Linked DNA regions of Mus musculus. The protein of the gene in region 1 purifies or fractionates together with the protein of each later gene. This does not show direct contact. Links are inferred from orthologs where the notes say so. Each region holds a gene or a part of one and is shown on either strand. Other genes may lie near its edges.

Region 1 (8,304 bases):
GGGTTGAGGGGGTAGCAACACTGAGTACTGTCTAAAAGCAAGGGCTGGATTAGGGTCTACATCTAGCTAGCTGGATCCTTCCAGTTAAAATGCTCATCCTATCTGCACTACAATTCCCATAGCACGATGTTCAGCCGAGTATTTCAGCTGTAACCTGTGCTATGTTAACAGCGTACACTGCAGAGCACCTAGTCGATGTCCTCACTGAGCATGTGAAGACAGTACTTTTAAACTGAAACAAAAGCACAAGTTACCTCATTCTCATATTTTCACATATATTAATTTTGACTACCTTCCTTCCTCCCCTCTCTCAACCCTACTTGTAGCTCTCATCTTCCCATACTCCCACTTGAATGTCATATGCCATACTTTCCTCTATGTCTTCTTCCCATGTGTATCATGGGAATTCTTTATCTTCCTATATATAGGATACTAGAGGAGTTCTTTATATAGAAACATCTCCACACTGTCAGGTTAGCCTTCTGATACACAGCTTTTCATTTTCTTGAGGGCCATCTTATCAATCACTTCTTTTGGCATCTTAGCAGGTTTATGTCCAACTCAAGACATGAAGACATTCTATATTTTCTACATGTTTTATTCATCATGCTGGTTCTAGCTCAAAAACTAATTTGTTTATGTAGAGGCAGAAATTCTGTTTGGGTTTATGTGGGCAACCAACTGATCCAGTCAGTTTTAGAAGACAGACACTTAGCCATCAAACTACAATGGTACCAGAGTGCTCTAGAAAATATTCTAGTGAGACATGAATATCCTGTCCCTGCCCCATGCTGTTTCTAAATTATGTGTCAGGTAGACTTGAGGTGCATAGTTTTGTTCTTTAGGATGTATGGGCTAGCCAAGCACTCTGCATTCCCAGGCCAGTTCCTACTAAAACTCTGCTGATATATAATGGCCTCAAATATAAGTACAGGGAATGAAGACTATATGTTTACCAAAGCTTCCTGTGGCAGTGCTTAATAGTTTCCCTAGAAATGTTAAGTATATTTCATTACATGTATTTTTTTTTTCTTCTTGTTTTTTGAGACAAGGTTTCTCTCTATAGCTCTGGCTGTCCTGGAACTCATTCTGTAGACCAGGCTGGCCTCGAACTCAGAAATCCACCTGCCTCTGCCTTTCTTTTTTCATTGTACTCTAGAGAAATGAATTCTTATTCTAAAACAGAGAAGATAGACTTTGTGGAGAGGAAAGAACAGGCATGGGTCACAACGCATAAAGAAATCAGACCCTGAGTTCTGTCTTTAAATATCTAAGATGTTTAGAACCCCCAGACCTCACCTGTTATCAAGAATGGGTCCTATCTTCTGGAGTGACTTGGCCACATTGAAGCGGACATTGGCAACTGGGTCCCCTGCCATACGAAGAACTGTGGGCAGCATGTGCTTGGTGGTGATATCCTGTCCACAGACCTCAGACAACACCTGAAAACCAGTGAATGGCAGAAGTACAGTTATGCAAGGCTTACTGCTAAGTCCCCATATATCTTCTTCTGAATATGCTGCCTGAGTCATCATCAGGACCCAGGAGCAACATGGAAGGGTATGGGTCTAGAAGCATGACTGTGGGGAGTTCTAAAATCCCTAACACAGTCTTCACTGGGGATGTTTCAGACTTTATATCTGGACTTCCATCATTCTCAGCATTTGAGAGGTCTGGATTTCTATCCCCTGAAATGCCACCTTCATAACGGAATCTCGAAATTGTAGCAGAGGAAATAAGCAAAATGTTTACTTAAGATTGTTTCTAACCCATCTTTAGCTTCTAGCTTGTGTAGGATTTACATGTCACTAAACAGTATAAGAAGTAAAACACAACTAAAAATGAGTAGTAAGTATATTCTGACACAGAATCAGAACTGTTCTATGCTCTCTATTATTACATTATTTTTCACATCCTGTTGAAAACCACCATAAATCTCAAAAGATGAGAAAACCAAACTACTAACTGGTTAGGTCCTATGATGTGTGACAGAAGCATGTGTTCTCCTTCCCAACCAGTAGAGGTGCACAGAATATGAGGCTGCTGCTCTCATACAGAAGCCTCCCAAACTTGGATCTCTCACCATGCAATCTTGGCCCTGTAGAGACCCGATCAAATACTGCAGATTCAAGCATTAGCCTGCAGTCCTCAGAAACTTATCCTTAGTCATGTTTCTATTCCCAAGCCAAACATCTGGGTAGACAAAGGGTCTTCCTCCACCTTCACATCAGCAGCACTCCCGTTCCCTGGGATCTATAGGCAGTTGGGGTGCTCACATTGATGCAGAAGAGTGTAGTCATTCGGTGCAGGTAGTTAGGGTCTCCAGACATGGCTAAGACCTTGGGGATGATAGTGGCATGGGCCCACTCCTTCCCGAACTTCTCTACTAATTTCTTAAGGTTGCTGGTGGCAGCCTCACGGATAGCATAGACTGCAATGGAGACAGAGCAAGGGAGGTGATTCAAGATGAAGGACTGAGCAGGAGGGCATTAACAGCTACACACATATCAGCAAATTCAGCAAAAACAGAAAATAGCACTTGCTATGTTAACCTAGTTTCTCTTTCTCATACAGCACCTTTTGGCCACCTACAGAGGCAGGCACCATTTGCCTCATTATTCAGAAGGATTGATGGTTGAGGCTCTGCTAATGTAAATTACACTTTAATACATACTAATTAAAACTGGTAGAAAAAAAAACAGTAAATTTTTTAACCCCATTAATAAAAAACAAATAATGTGTTTCACAAGGGCTGAGAGGCCATGGTAAGAAGTCTTCATGTTTTGGAATGAGCGTAAAGATAGAAGATGGGAAGACACTTGGTATGTTTCAGCAGACTAAGGATTCAAACTCAGGTCTTCTGCATCCACCCATAACCTCAACCCCAATCTACACTATGGCTTCTTAACAGCAACATGTAAGCACTGACAGCAGAAGAATGTCCTAATTATCTTTCTGTCTTTGGGGTTAACCTATCCTGCTGTGTTGCTGGGGGAACTTACCATGATCCACTAGCCAGGCCATACACAAAGAGTTTAGTTTCTCATCAAAAAATTCCACACCCTGCGGGGAAAAAAGATTGGTAAGGATTTGAGGGGTGAGAGGAAGGATGGAAGGGAGGGCCTGGTCCCAGAGAATCATGCAATTCTCAACCCCACCTGATCTGCTAAGTGTTCTTGTTCTGAATGAACCCCACTCATCTGCTAAGAGTCTAATTTCAGAGTAGAGTCCTCTCTGCATGGGCAGCTGTCACTGCCTACAAGAGGTATCTCCAAGTCCCTTGTTACAGCAACACAGCCCTGGTACTGGGGATAGGACTGGACCCTATACTCTTATCACTTCAGGACCAGCAAAACCTGGATGGATCCTCACTCACAAGCTGTCCAGCCAGCAGAGGCATGTATTCAATGATGGCCAGCCGCACTCGCCACTTGGCATCTTCAGCTAGTTCCACGATGGCAGGAAGCAGGGACTGAGAGAGCTGCCTGATGCCAATCACCTCGTTCACACAATCCAGGTTGGAGATGATATTCAGTCGGACTTCAGGACACTTGGAAAGAAAATAGGAAGGTTGAGAGAACATACTACATACAGCAACCCTAGAAGGCTGAGAGGAGCAGGCAAGAGCTCTTTCTGGGTATTGTCCTATAACACAAAATATCCACCTCGTCTCAAGAGTAGCTGAGGCTCTGCAACGTGAAATGGGAGCACTTGATAAACTGAAAGAAGTACCTAGTGTCTGGAACACAAAGGAGTGAATATGTTGGGAATATTTTCTATCATTCTCACTTCTCACTGACACAGAATCCCAGACCTTTGGACATGATTTCTTGAGTAGGAACAGCCTATGAGTCATGGGGACAAATCTGCATTCACCACCGTAGAAGAAGCCACAGTATAATCTACCAAAGTGCTCCATTAAAGAATGCCAATGGATAGCATCCCACTAGTCTGGCTTCCCAGGATCTCTGGCCATCTCTCCTATCTCTCACTAACACTGGCTATATTTTCCTAACAGAAAGATCTCTTGCAGCTGCAGCACTTGCCTACAGATTCAAATCCAATTCCCTAAACTGTTACTACAGTGCACAGGCAAGTATGGTGACCAGACTGGCTATGGCCAACAGAGCATGTAGAAGACACAAGCTAGAGCTATTTCAGTGGAAACATGAAGCTTTAAACTATGGCGCACTTCTCCCAGTACCTAGTTTCTGAGTTGAATTATGGGACAATTTATCCATCTGTCCTCTCTACTGGCACATTCTATAGATCCCTAAAGATCACCATTGTCTTGGTCTTTGTTCAACACTCAGGGAACGGATGAGTACAAAATTAAAGGCACATGAGGCATGTCTGACAAGAACGAGTGAACAAGCAGACACTTTTGCCTGTCATCAACTTATCAAAGCAGAGAGTGTAGAGTGTGGTGCCAAACTTTTAAAATACTTTTGGATAATTTGATTGACTTTGAAAACCTTCCTGCCACTCTTACCTCATCCTTCAGCTGAGCCAAGAACAGGGGCAAGAGGTGTTCGATGGTGTTGTCTTTGCCCAGAATGGGAGAGAGGCCCATGATGACTGAAGCCAGTGCTGACTTGACATGTTGGTTGGCATCTGACACAAGCTCCTTCAGAAGAGAAGGAAGGAGGGAGCCAAGGTCAGAAAAATCCCCTTTAATGATAACTGGCCACATAGACAGTAGCCCCAATTCTAAGACCACAGTCTTCTGCTTTTCATAGGCAGGGCATCTCAGGGCTGCACTACATTTAAAGAGATGGTTATGTGAGCCCCGATCCTGGGGCCACTGCCCTATTCCCCAAAACTCTGTGGATAAGGGAACTCTGGTCTCTGAGCAGTAAATACATCCCTTAGATCTGAGGGTCAGTTTCAACCTTCAGATTTTGCCTACAGCCTAATCCATGACTGTTAAACAGTTACAGTATCTCAAAAGGCCTTGGATCTGATTGTATCTAAAACCAAATCCTACAACCAAATACTCTATTACCTTGATGCAGGGCAAGATCTGAGTCATGATCACATTCTCCCGGCAGTCAGCTGAGAGATTTTCACAGAACTCTGTGGGCAGGGAGAGGAAGGTATTAGTGAGATTTGATGCTCTGGGCCCATTTCTGCCTCTTAGAAATCCACCCATCTAGTTGTGTTCTGGTTGTCAGCACCAACCTTTGACCTTGTGGGAGGCTGCGGCCCTCACCTCGGCCTCACAGTCCTTCATCAGGTTCTGGAAGGCAGGCACCAGATCTGTCTTGGTGATCTCAGGCCCCACTGCTTTCTGGAGCTGTACAATAGAGAAGAGAAGCAGAACTGAAGAGTCTGGCAATCACTCAGGGCTAAAGAGGCAAAAATGGAGATGAAAGCACCAGAATAAGGTTAGGACGCAGCACAAGGGACATAGTTCCAGCATGATGACACGACCAACAAGTGAAGTCGTCACGTCTCTGATGACTTCTTCAGAAACAGAATGAGGGTTACAGGACATTCTGCACAGTATGTTTTCCATTTATTGCCCAGGTTATATGAGGTTGGATTTCTTACTACCTAAACACAGTAAGTGGTCCCTGATTTCATCTAACATGAAAATATGTAAACATAACTGAATTTTATTAAAATTGTTACAAGAAGTTGGTATCATTTTTGCAATGAAAATGATTAAAAACAGTGAAGAGGAAAACACATGCCAGTAACAAGGATGTAGGAAAAGTATGTGGATGAGTTTGCTTCAACTTGGTTGTTGGAAGAACAGTTGAAAGCAGGATGACTCTACTACTAAAAGTAATGACGTAAACACCTTGCAGGGCCTTGTACTGTACTTATGAGCTGTGTGCTGTGGACAGACTATTATTTCCATATCCCATGACCCTGTCGTCCAAGTCACAGTGTCAGCCTACTTCTTCTACACGGCCAGATCTCAAACAACTTCACTAGACCCAGGAATACATTCCTTAGGGCTGAGTCTTCCATGAGAGAGCTCTTCTCCATCATTTCTGCTCCTCTGCTCACTGAATTTCAGCACCCAGCCATGAATGCTACTTCTTACTCAGTCTCTTATCGCCTACATCCTCTGCACAGGCTTATTGTTTTGCTCTAAGTATCACAGAGCCGTCAAGAGAAACAAAACACAAAATATTCCATTAGAACTAACTTTTAAAAAAAAAGATTTATTCATTATAAGTATGTGAGTATACTGTCACACTCTTCAGACACATCAGAGGAGGGCATTAGATTACGTTATACATGGTTGTGAGCAAACCTGTGGTTGCTAGGAATTAAACCCAGGACCCCTGGAAGATCAGTCCGTGCTCTTAACCTCTGAGCCTTCTCTCCAGCCCCCATCAGCACTTTCTATTGAAGCTGACTTTTAGCTTGCTCCTTGAAGACCAGGAATGTGTGCAATTAACTCACTCCAGAACCTCGACCAAGGACAATGCTCTTAACTACAGACTTGGGAATATGGCCAACAGGAGAGCACTTGCCTAACATGGTTAAAGAACTGGGTTCAACTCTCAGAATTAGCAAGAAGGGGGTGGTGGGGAGTACATGCTGTTGGCTAAGAACATTTGGATCTCAGCACAAACAGCATATATGTCCCTGCTCTGACTAGCTTGTGGTTGCTGCCACTATCACTGGGGCTGTGTCTTTCTTAGAGAGGTTATAAGTTTAGGGAAAATGCTTTCATGGAGTTGAAACTTGGCTTCAGAATCACTCTCAACACAGCGGTCTGATTTGAATCACCCACCCAGGACTGGCTCTGGGAGATCATTGGGTTTCTCTTTAAGACTCAGGACCGTACTATCCTTAAAATACAGTATGTCAGTTCCTGTATGTTGCTCCCTTCTCCCCTCAGAGAGCCTCAGTGTCCACACCTGTGGAACTATGGCAACCTACCTCTGTGAACTTGTCGGCCACCATGTAGCGAACACGCCAAGACTTGTCCTCAGCAGCCTGTCGCAAGGTGGGCATCACTAAGGCCTCCAGGTCCTCCTGTGGCAGAAGCTGGGCAATATTCACACATGCCTCCACTGCCAGCAGCCGCACCGAGTCCTAGGGAAAACAGCAGAGGGGTAGGGAAACACAGGCCCACTGAGTCTTAAGGGTGCACTCCCTTCTAAGCTTACTTGCATTGTGAAAGCTGACGACTGACTTACCTGCTCGTCAGAGGCCAGGTTAGAGAACATGGGAATGATCTCACTCTTGACATTGTCCAGCTCCAGTACCTTGGCAAATTCCCCCAGCTTGGAGGCAGCGGCCCGCCGCACCATGGGGGTGTCATCTGAGCACAGGTTCCGGAAGTACCTGGGATTGGATGGAGGTCCAGACTTAGAATCCTGGAAAGTCCTAACTGCTAGTGTCCCGGCACAGCACAGAGCACTGCTGGTTCTGCAGTAAATTCTGGTGCTGACAATGGTGACTTTGTATAACTCATGACTTCTCTGTCTTCTCAGCTCTATAAACTATTATACGGACCAATGGCAATAGCAAGTCCCCACACAGCTGATTTGACGTATCAGTCAAACAGTACAACACAGTACTAAGAACGGTTTAAAACTTGCCTTCCATTTCAGGAGCAATTGCCTCATTAAGAGATACATGGGAAACAATTGGAGACATGCAGCATGTGGTATGAAGTGACATCTCAGCAACTTCTGCTTAATAGTTATGAGCAACAAGGCAGTCAGCAAATGAGGGGTCTAAACCTGGAGCAGGCTGGAAATAATACCAGATACTATTTGTTATGCTGTATTCTGCTCCAAGCCCACAATGTGTAACTAATGGCAGGAATAAATTTCCATGAAGGCAGACCAGGCAAATTCACTGCTGAAGTACAGTGTCCAGTGATCACTGTGAAGGACAAGCCTCTTTGGAGAACTGAGGAGGGAGGAGGGAGTCATCAAGGACATTAGACATTAGGTCATGGAAGACCTAAAGGGGCTGAGGCTTAGAGGAAGGTTAGGTAAGGTGATGGGAGTGAGAACTTACTGTCGAAGTTCTGCCTTCACGGCACTGGATACTCGGGGGTAGCAAACTGAGAAGAGACCACAGGCCGAGGTGCGGGAGGTGAACCAGTCTCCACCCGCCAGCCGCTTTACCAGAGGCACAAAGTGAGCCTCTAGATCGGAAGGTGAGTGCTCATGAGAGATGGCCCGCAAGGATTCTACCGCCTTGTCTCGCACTACTGTCTCTTCCACTGTGGCCAGTGACTCAAGGGGTGGCTGTAATAAGAACACAAAGTTAGAAACCAGTGTTTTTCTCACTGTTTCCACTGTGGAACCCTACCTCATGGCCTGA
Region 2 (8,304 bases), on another chromosome or scaffold:
TTTATAATCAAACGTTAGAGCTAAAACCGTTCCTGGGAGGAAGATGTGTGGTTTTAGGGCTGGGGGAGGTCAAGACCAACTGTGGCTATATGCGAATGGCTAGTTTCCAGTTCTTGTACCAATAAGGACCCATAAAAAGGGAGTAGCCATCTTCTGGATAAGGATAGTGGTTTTATTGGTATTTTTAGATGACTCTCATAGCAATTCTCTGAAGTAGTCCTGAATAGTTAAGAACAACGACCAAAGAGGACAGTAAAAAGTCCTGAGGAGTTACAATTTACTGATGGAAACTGGCAATTACTGTGACAATGGCCAGCAGCTTGACAAGGAAGTTTCTCTGTGTAGCCCTGGCTGTCCTGGAACTCACTTTGTAGACCAGGCTGGCCTCGAACTCAGAAATCCGCCTGCCTCTACCTCCTGAGTTTGAGTTCCAGCATTCATGTAAAGAGCCAGATGTGGAGGGAGTCTGGAACCCCAGTGTTAGGGAGGTAGATCCTTGGAGCTCATTGGCTAGCCAGCTTAGCTGGATGTATGATGAGCTCCAGGTTCAATGAGAGAGCCTGTCTCAAAAAGTGACCTGAGATTAACCTCAGTGCTGGGATTAAAGGCGTGCGCCACCATGCCCAGCTGTTTTAGTGCTAGAAAAGGAGAAGTTGCTGCTCATAAAAATCTGTCACTCTCCCTTCAGTTTACAAAAATTATCTTTAAAATACTTTTTAAACAGTGTGTTTTGGTCATGTTTTTTCTACTCCCTGACCCCTCTCAGATTTTCCCTGCCTCTCTACCCACCCAACTTTATGTTCTTTGTCTTTCTCAAAAAGGAAAATCAACTGAAATTGAAGATCAAAAAACCAGAACAAAACAAGTGCACAGAAAAACATGGAGTCCATTTTACAATAGGCCTATGGGAAAACCTACTCCTCTTATCTGTTAAGGAGAGAGTGGGGGCCGACCCTTCAGTTTTTTTGTCCTCTCCCTACCCTTTCTTATCCTCTGTTCTTCCTTGCCAAGCTGTGTTCTCAAAAATAATTTGTCTGTATTGTGTAGCACAAACCCTGTCTCTGACTACCCTCAGCTCTCCTAAGGGGAACCACGGGGCCGGGTGTTCATGATTTCCTATAATTACATAGGAACGCGGTACTGTTGTTTGCCCGCTTACACGTTTAGGTTTGACAGTTTTATACACATACAGAAAAACTGTAGTCACTCACACCCTGTCCCCTCTCTCATCCTCTCCTGCTGAAACCCTTCTTGCCAGTGTGTCTCCCTTCTTCTGTCATCCTGTGTTTGTATAAGGGGGCACCATTTCTAAGAAGAAGAAAATGGTAATTTTTTGGATTGGATGTTCAAACCTGCAGGTTCCTGCTGGCCATTGTCACAGTAATTGCCAGCTTCCATCAATAAATTGTAACTCAAAAAATATTTCAATATCATGTATACTTTATCATAATTAGTTCAGGATAATTAGCATAGCTATCACCTTAATGCTTTTTTCATGGTAAAATCACTCAAAAAATCTTCTTTTCTGGCCTTTTTGAAATACGTTCTACATTATTGTTAACTTTAGTTGCCTTGTTATTTAGTTCCTAAGTTAAAAGTGAAAATCAAAATGCACACAACTATTATCTGTAAATCAAAAACTTACCAAAACTTGAGACAATCAGCAATATTACTACTTAGTTAATTAATGCTATTAAGATCCTGGATTTTAGGTATGATAATGTCATTATTCTTATGTTATCTTTTCTTCCAGAGCATAAGGAATTCTTGCAAAAGTAATCAGGTTTGGGTAGAGTTTGCTTCAAGGCATTTCTGCCCAGAGGAAGTAAACAGGCACACAGACTACACAAGACCTGCCATTGGCTAAAGCACTCAAAATGGGCACTGACCACAGCAGGGTTCCTTGAATGACACTAAGATGTCGTTTCCAGAAATTCAGGATCTTACCAACAAGACTGCAGACTGAATCTGCCACACAGTCCCTGTCACAGCAAGCACCCCACCATGCCACTAGGATTTCATCTAACTCCTGCACTCCTGCCTGCTCTAAGGGACGATGGTTTCTCAAGTAACATTCATCTGTGGCCACACAAAGGACTCGTGTAACTCCACAGGAAAGATCACTTAGGTTAAGTAACGTTAGCTCAGCCTTTGAATTTATTTTTTACTCTAGTTCTGCCAGAATTTTCTACTTGCACATCCTAGCTAACTGAGTTTGGCTCAGTGACAACAGGGCTGCTAACACAGGGACACTAGAGTAGATACTTAGTTTAAATGTTTACTCACTGGACACTATCAAGCTTTAGGGTTTATAGAAACAAAACAAAATTGGCTAGCCTAACAGAACTCAACTTGACTTTTCTCTAAAAGAATGGAAGCATTTACCAGTGTGGCAGAGTAAGTGTAGAAATAAAGGAACAATCGAATTCTGTCCTATCTCTTACTCTCTAACCAGGCAGAGATAAAAGACCTACTGTTTGACTTGGCCGACCATGGATACACGGGCAGACTCAAGGTTTCGAATCTGGCCACTCTTCACACTAGTAAAGGAAAATAAGGAAGGAGAGGTTACTCTGCATTCATCTCAGCACAACATCAGAAGGAAGGAGTAATTTTGTAGATTGCATAGGATCAAACAAAAAGCTGCAGTCACCATGTGCTTCAGCATGAAGAAAACTTTATACAGACTTATAAAATTATCAATTGGACTAATGAATATATTCATGATTGACAGCCTTTAACAGAAGCCATGGGTAATTCTATCAGCAATTTTTATAATAAACTATTTACTATTAGGTTTTTATCATAAACACAAATAATTCTAGAGAGAGGAATCTCCACTTGCCCTGCTCACTCCAGAACAGAAACTCCATCTGCTATTTCTTTATCATTTTATGTCAAACACAGAAAGTGGATGTAGAACCATGGAGCTTCAGAGGAGGAGGCGGCCTTGCAGACCACCTGGTCTAAGTCCTCAACTTCAGGGCAAACCCAGCTGGACAGCAGGTGGCCTGCGACCACTAATGTCCTAGGAGATGGTATATTAGGCACACTTTACAGAGGACTGCGGCAAGTATGAAACATTTAAAAAATACTCTGCTTTGAACTATTTCCTTACATACTATCACAGAAAGGGAGACTCACCTGTTTATCTTAGTACCTGAGCTGACTTAAAAATAGAGGGAGGATGGGAAGGAGGGAGGCAAGGAGGGAGGGAGGGAGGAAGAAAAGAGAGGCGGGGCAGGTTAGAATATAACATTTAAAATTAAGTCTTAGGTTTGTGGGTTACCTCCATTCAATAGCATTCTCCAAAGACTTGAAGGTTTTAGGTCGACCACGCAAGAAATTCTGCATGCTATTAAGTGCATCCATGGCGGTACCTGAAACAAAATTTTAAATATATCAATAAACTTTTTCGTTTTCTTGCTTTACAAATTGTACTAAATATTTCTTTTCCCTTTTTAGGTTAGTACACAAATCCTGGCTCCATCACTCCTGCCATACTTTGTTGCTGGGTGCTCACACTCCCCTCCCTGACTACTCCTTTCACGCCCCGCTCCAGCTGGCTTTCCTTCTCCCCCAGTTAAGTCCCCTCTTCTGATCTCTTATCATATATAACCCATTACCCTCTCACCACCTTAAGATAGTGTCCTCCTCTCACGATGATCTTTTATAGCTCCCTCTCCCTCCCTCCCTCCCTCCCTCCCTCCCTCTCACACACACACAATTTTAAATTTACTTTCCACATATGAAAGAGAACATGGGAGAGTTCTCTGAGGTTCCTCCTTTTTTTTTTTTTTTTTTTTTGTTTTTTTTCAAGACAGGGTTTCTCTGTGTAGCCCTGGCTGTCCTGGAACTCAGTCTGTAGACCAGGCTGGCCTCAAACACAGAAATCTTCCTGTCTCTGCCTCCCAAGTATCTGAGGCTCCTCCTTATTGGAGGAAGTGTGTCACTCTGGAGGTGGGCTTTGAGGGCTCCTAATGCTCAAGCCCCGCCCAGCACAGAAGAGAGTAGAGGGTCTCCTCCTTGGCTACCTTCAGATCGAGATGTAGACCTCTCAGCTCCTCCAGTACCATCTCTGCCTGCACACTGCCATGCTTCCACCATGATGATAATGGACTGAACCTCTGAACCTGTAAGCCAGCCCCAGTTAAATGTTTTCCTTTATAAGAGTTGCATGGTCGCTGGGTGTGGTGGCGCACGCCTTTAAACCCAGCACTCAGGAGGCAGAGGCAGGCAGATTTCTGAGTTCGAGGCCAGCCTGGTCTACAAAGTGAGTTCCAGGACAGCCAGGGCTATACAGAGAAACCCTGTCTTGAAAAAAACAAAAAAACAGAAAAACAAACAAAAAAAGAGTTGCTTGGTCGTGGTGTCTCCTCTTAGCAATAAATCTCTAAGACACATAATGATTTACAGTTTCATCTGTTTTCCTGCAAATGTCATGATTTCCTTTTTTCTTTATGGCTGCATAAACTTTCTTTGCACATATGTATCACATTTTATCTAATGCATCTATACTGGATATCCAGGCTAGTTCCATTCCCTGGCTATTGTGAACATAGCAGCTTTACAATGGGTGTGTCTCTGGTATTCTGATTTCTACCAAAACAGGTAGAGTTGGGTCATTGGTAGTTCCAATTTTTGAGGAATCTCCATACTGATTTCCAGTGTGGCTACATTCCAGTCAGCAACGAGTAAGGGTCCCTCCTTCCTCATATCCTTACCACCAAGCAATCATTTGTTTTAGTGATGACAGGAATCTTGACTAAGGTGCTTGAAATCTCAAAAACAGTTTTAATTTGCATCTCCATGATGATTAAGGATATGAAATAGTTTTTCTATTCTTTATTAGCAATTTGTTTTTCTTCTTTTGAGAACTTTTTTTTTTAGCCCATTCATTGACTAAATGATATCACCTTCTGGTGTTGAATTTTACATATACATTAAATATATATATGTATGTGTGTGTGTGTATACACATATATTTATACATACTGTATTTATGTATACAGTATATGTTTTTATATGCTGGATATTAATATATTTATATATTGGATATTGATCTCCACTATGATCTAGCTTTCAGAGATCCTTTCCTGCTCTGAAGGCCACCGTGGACTTCCAGTGGTTAATTGTTCAGATTACTTCCTGTGCTATTGGAGTCCTACTCACCCTTGCCTATGCCTGTATCACCATGTGAACAAAGCTGCTCATGTTACTCTTCACATTCACAATGACGGGATGCCATTACTTGTACGGGCAGACTCCTCCCCAAAAGGTTCACGTGTGGATGGCTTGGTCACCAGCTGTTCACACTATTGAGAGGTGGTTAAATAATGAAGATACTAACTTCACTGATAGAGTATCTATTGTTGAGTGCATACTGAGCAGGCTGTTTGGAGGCAGGACCTACTTAGAGGAAGCAGTAACTCGGGGCAAGCCCTGGGAGTACAGTCTCCCTCCCTCTGTATGAAATGCTGACTCTCCACATCCTAAAAGAAATGGACCCACTAGCCACAGACCCAAACCTGACACTGTGGACCAAAAACCTTTCCTCCTTTAAATTGCTTATCTCAGATATTTTGTCACAGGGGCAAAACTGTCAAATTGAGTCAACTCTATATCTTTGCTCCTGGTAACAGGAAAATTCAGTGATACTTGGGTAAAAGTAAAGATGCAATTTAATAACATTGCAAGAATTAACACAAGCCAGCTTCCAATATGAGTCTCAGCAATTCTTGACTACTGGTATTCACTCCTTGTGTGGCACACATCAATAGATATAGCTAACCTGTACAAGCAGCAGTGAGATTCTCAGGGTAAGTCAGAAAATTAAAAGCAGTTTCTTTTTAAATGGAAAACTAAGAGACATACATGCACATGATTAGAAGTATTATTCAGCCATAAAAAGGTATTCTTGAATAGTTTTTGGTAACATGAAAAATGACTGTATAATCTTTTATTAGATATTTTCTTCATTTACATTTCAAATGCTATCCCAAAAGTCCCCTATACCCTCCCCCTGCCCTGCTCCCCAACCCACCCACTCCCACTTCTTGGCCCTGGTGTTCCCCTGTACTGGGCATATAAAGTTTGCAAGACCAAGGGCCTCTCTTTCCAATGATGGCCGACTAGGCCATCTTCTGATACATATGCAGCTAGAGACACACGCTCTAGGGGTACTGATTAGTTCATATTGTTGTTCCTCCTATAGGGTTGCAGACCCCTTCAGCATCTTGGGTACTTTCTCTAGCTGATTGTATAAAGACACAAAGACATAGGGGTACACTTCAAGATGAATGAAATTGAGACTAAATTAAGGCCAAGGTAATACCATACCAGGGGACCTCCTACAAATGACTGAATCTGGTTTGATCAGTACTAAGAAAACTTACCTTCTACAACATCAATCATGCAAAGGCCCAAGAGGCTTGGTACCAGGTTAGCTGCGGCTGTGTGCACTGCAATGGCGCCACCCATGCTGTGCCCAATCAGCATGACTGGAGGAGGGAGGTCTCCATACATGGCTTCCACCACATTGCCAACATCTCTGCAAAGAAAGAGAAAACTGAGAGTGCTGGAGGAAGACACCAAAAATAGCTTGCTTTCTCAGTTTCTTCTGTTGGACTGTAACTAAACGTTGTGGGAAATGGTAAAGACTCACAGGGCCACTCTACAAAGACACCTATGTAAGCCTGCATGCACGGTCCCTAGTATCTATGCAGAGAGCAACACACCTAGTTCTCCAGATAAATGGCCAGTTAAGGACTAAGAACCCCAAATTTCTGATCTTTCTTAGTACCATCCTTTTATCATCCTACAAATTTAGTACAATCATATAAATATACAACTGTATGTTAATTTAAGCTTGGCATTCCGGAGAAATAATTTACTCTAAGCCTCTGTTTTTCCATGAATAATGCAATAAGGCTTGGGGTAGCAGCATACGATCAGCCTCTGTATGAGCTATATCAACTTCACTAGGAGCTTTTTTCTGTCATCTAACATAACTTATTTGTTTTACATTTGTGTGTGTGTGTGTGCGCACATGTGGAAGTCAGAGGACAATCTGTAGGAGCTGCTTTGAGAAATGAGTGAGAAGTGAATGTAAACTGTTATCCAAAAGGTAAAGTACTATTCAAATGAAAAGACTCAGCTGAAAAGAGAATTCAAAAGTTAAAAAAAAAGAAAGAAAAAGAAAAAAAAGAAAAAAAGAAAAAAGAAAGAAAATCCAAGTTTCCTTTACAGCAGTGTTGCTTCAAAAGACAAGATACCTTGGGAAAGGCAAAGTGTTACTTAGTGCAAAGGAAAAAACTAAAACTTATTCAGTGTAGCTGTGATTAACAAATGCCTTTTTCAAATTCATATATTGTAAAGTATAATTCTTTGCAAGTTTGCAGTATTTCTGTTGGAAAAGCAATCATTGATAAAAGTTAAACATTGTGCTTAACTTCGGTCTATATTCTTGTTGGCTTTTGTTCTAGAGAGTAGTAGAAAAAGGTAGGACTTACAAAAGTGACTGGGCCATAAAACTGCTTTATAGAGTAATGAAGGAGTGACTGTTATAAAGAGCGTTCTCTCTGGCTCACAGCTATCTCCTTTACCATACTATAATCCAAGACTAGTATCTGGCTCTAAACTGTGAGCCTAATAAACTACTGTAGTGATGCAGCAATGTCAGGCAAGGACCTGTCATGCACATGTGTCATCTAATGTCATTCTTCCACAACCTTGTCTGAAAGGGTCCTTTCTACTATTCTCTAAGACACTCACTCAGACATACTTATCAACTGTAAAATTAGCCAGCAATTAAATTCATTGGGTCTACCAAAATAACATTGTATTTCTACCAAAATTACAAGGAAAAAAGCTGCAAATTTCTGCTACCACATTAAGGATAATTAAAGCCCCTTTCCTTGGAATCCAGCACTATGGACCCATAAAGTCAGCACAGTTCAAGAACAAAGGTGACTTAGATGAGGAGAAGTCTTTAGAACAAGTAACATAGGAGACTTACACAGCTTCAGAAAGGAAAGCCAAGTCATATTACTATATATCAATATGACAGAGCAGAAAAAAACTGTATGTTCATTCCTATGTAAAGATATATATGTACTTACACATAGACAATTGGCTCAATTAATTAATCTAAAGCCATGTGGGGTATGATTCTATTATTTAGGGGCAAATCTTTAAAAAAATAGATTAAAGTTTAGAACAAATATCAGTGTATAACTTCCAGAAAAATTCTCAATTCTAGTAAAATTTTAGTTGATAAGGATGAAATGAGTTAAATAAAATGTT

Evidence for each region. Proteins that work in one complex are often made in the same cells at the same time.
Region 2: the proteins of Ppp2r1a (region 1) and Ppme1 purify together in Homo sapiens (affinity purification with mass spectrometry; 11 studies listed by BioGRID and IntAct, with this or other methods). This does not show direct contact. The link is inferred for Mus musculus from reciprocal best matches to the Homo sapiens genes PPP2R1A and PPME1.

Annotation. Positions count from the first base shown.
Region 1 is NC_000083.6:20,955,712-20,964,015, reverse strand, and holds part of Ppp2r1a (serine/threonine-protein phosphatase 2A 65 kDa regulatory subunit A alpha isoform), read right to left. Parts: intron 8,229-8,304; coding exon 7,996-8,228; intron 7,312-7,995; coding exon 7,164-7,311; intron 7,060-7,163; coding exon 6,904-7,059; intron 5,297-6,903; coding exon 5,182-5,296; intron 5,077-5,181; coding exon 5,006-5,076; intron 4,628-5,005; coding exon 4,493-4,627; intron 3,551-4,492; coding exon 3,377-3,550; intron 3,064-3,376; coding exon 3,003-3,063; intron 2,432-3,002; coding exon 2,277-2,431; intron 1,443-2,276; coding exon 1,300-1,442; intron 1-1,299. UniProt on the Homo sapiens protein: The PR65 subunit of protein phosphatase 2A serves as a scaffolding molecule to coordinate the assembly of the catalytic subunit and a variable regulatory B subunit.
Region 2 is NC_000073.6:100,338,557-100,346,860, forward strand, and holds part of Ppme1 (protein phosphatase methylesterase 1), read right to left. Parts: intron 6,551-8,304; coding exon 6,396-6,550; intron 3,381-6,395; coding exon 3,290-3,380; intron 2,541-3,289; coding exon 2,475-2,540; intron 1-2,474. UniProt on the Homo sapiens protein: Demethylates proteins that have been reversibly carboxymethylated. Demethylates PPP2CB (in vitro) and PPP2CA. Binding to PPP2CA displaces the manganese ion and inactivates the enzyme.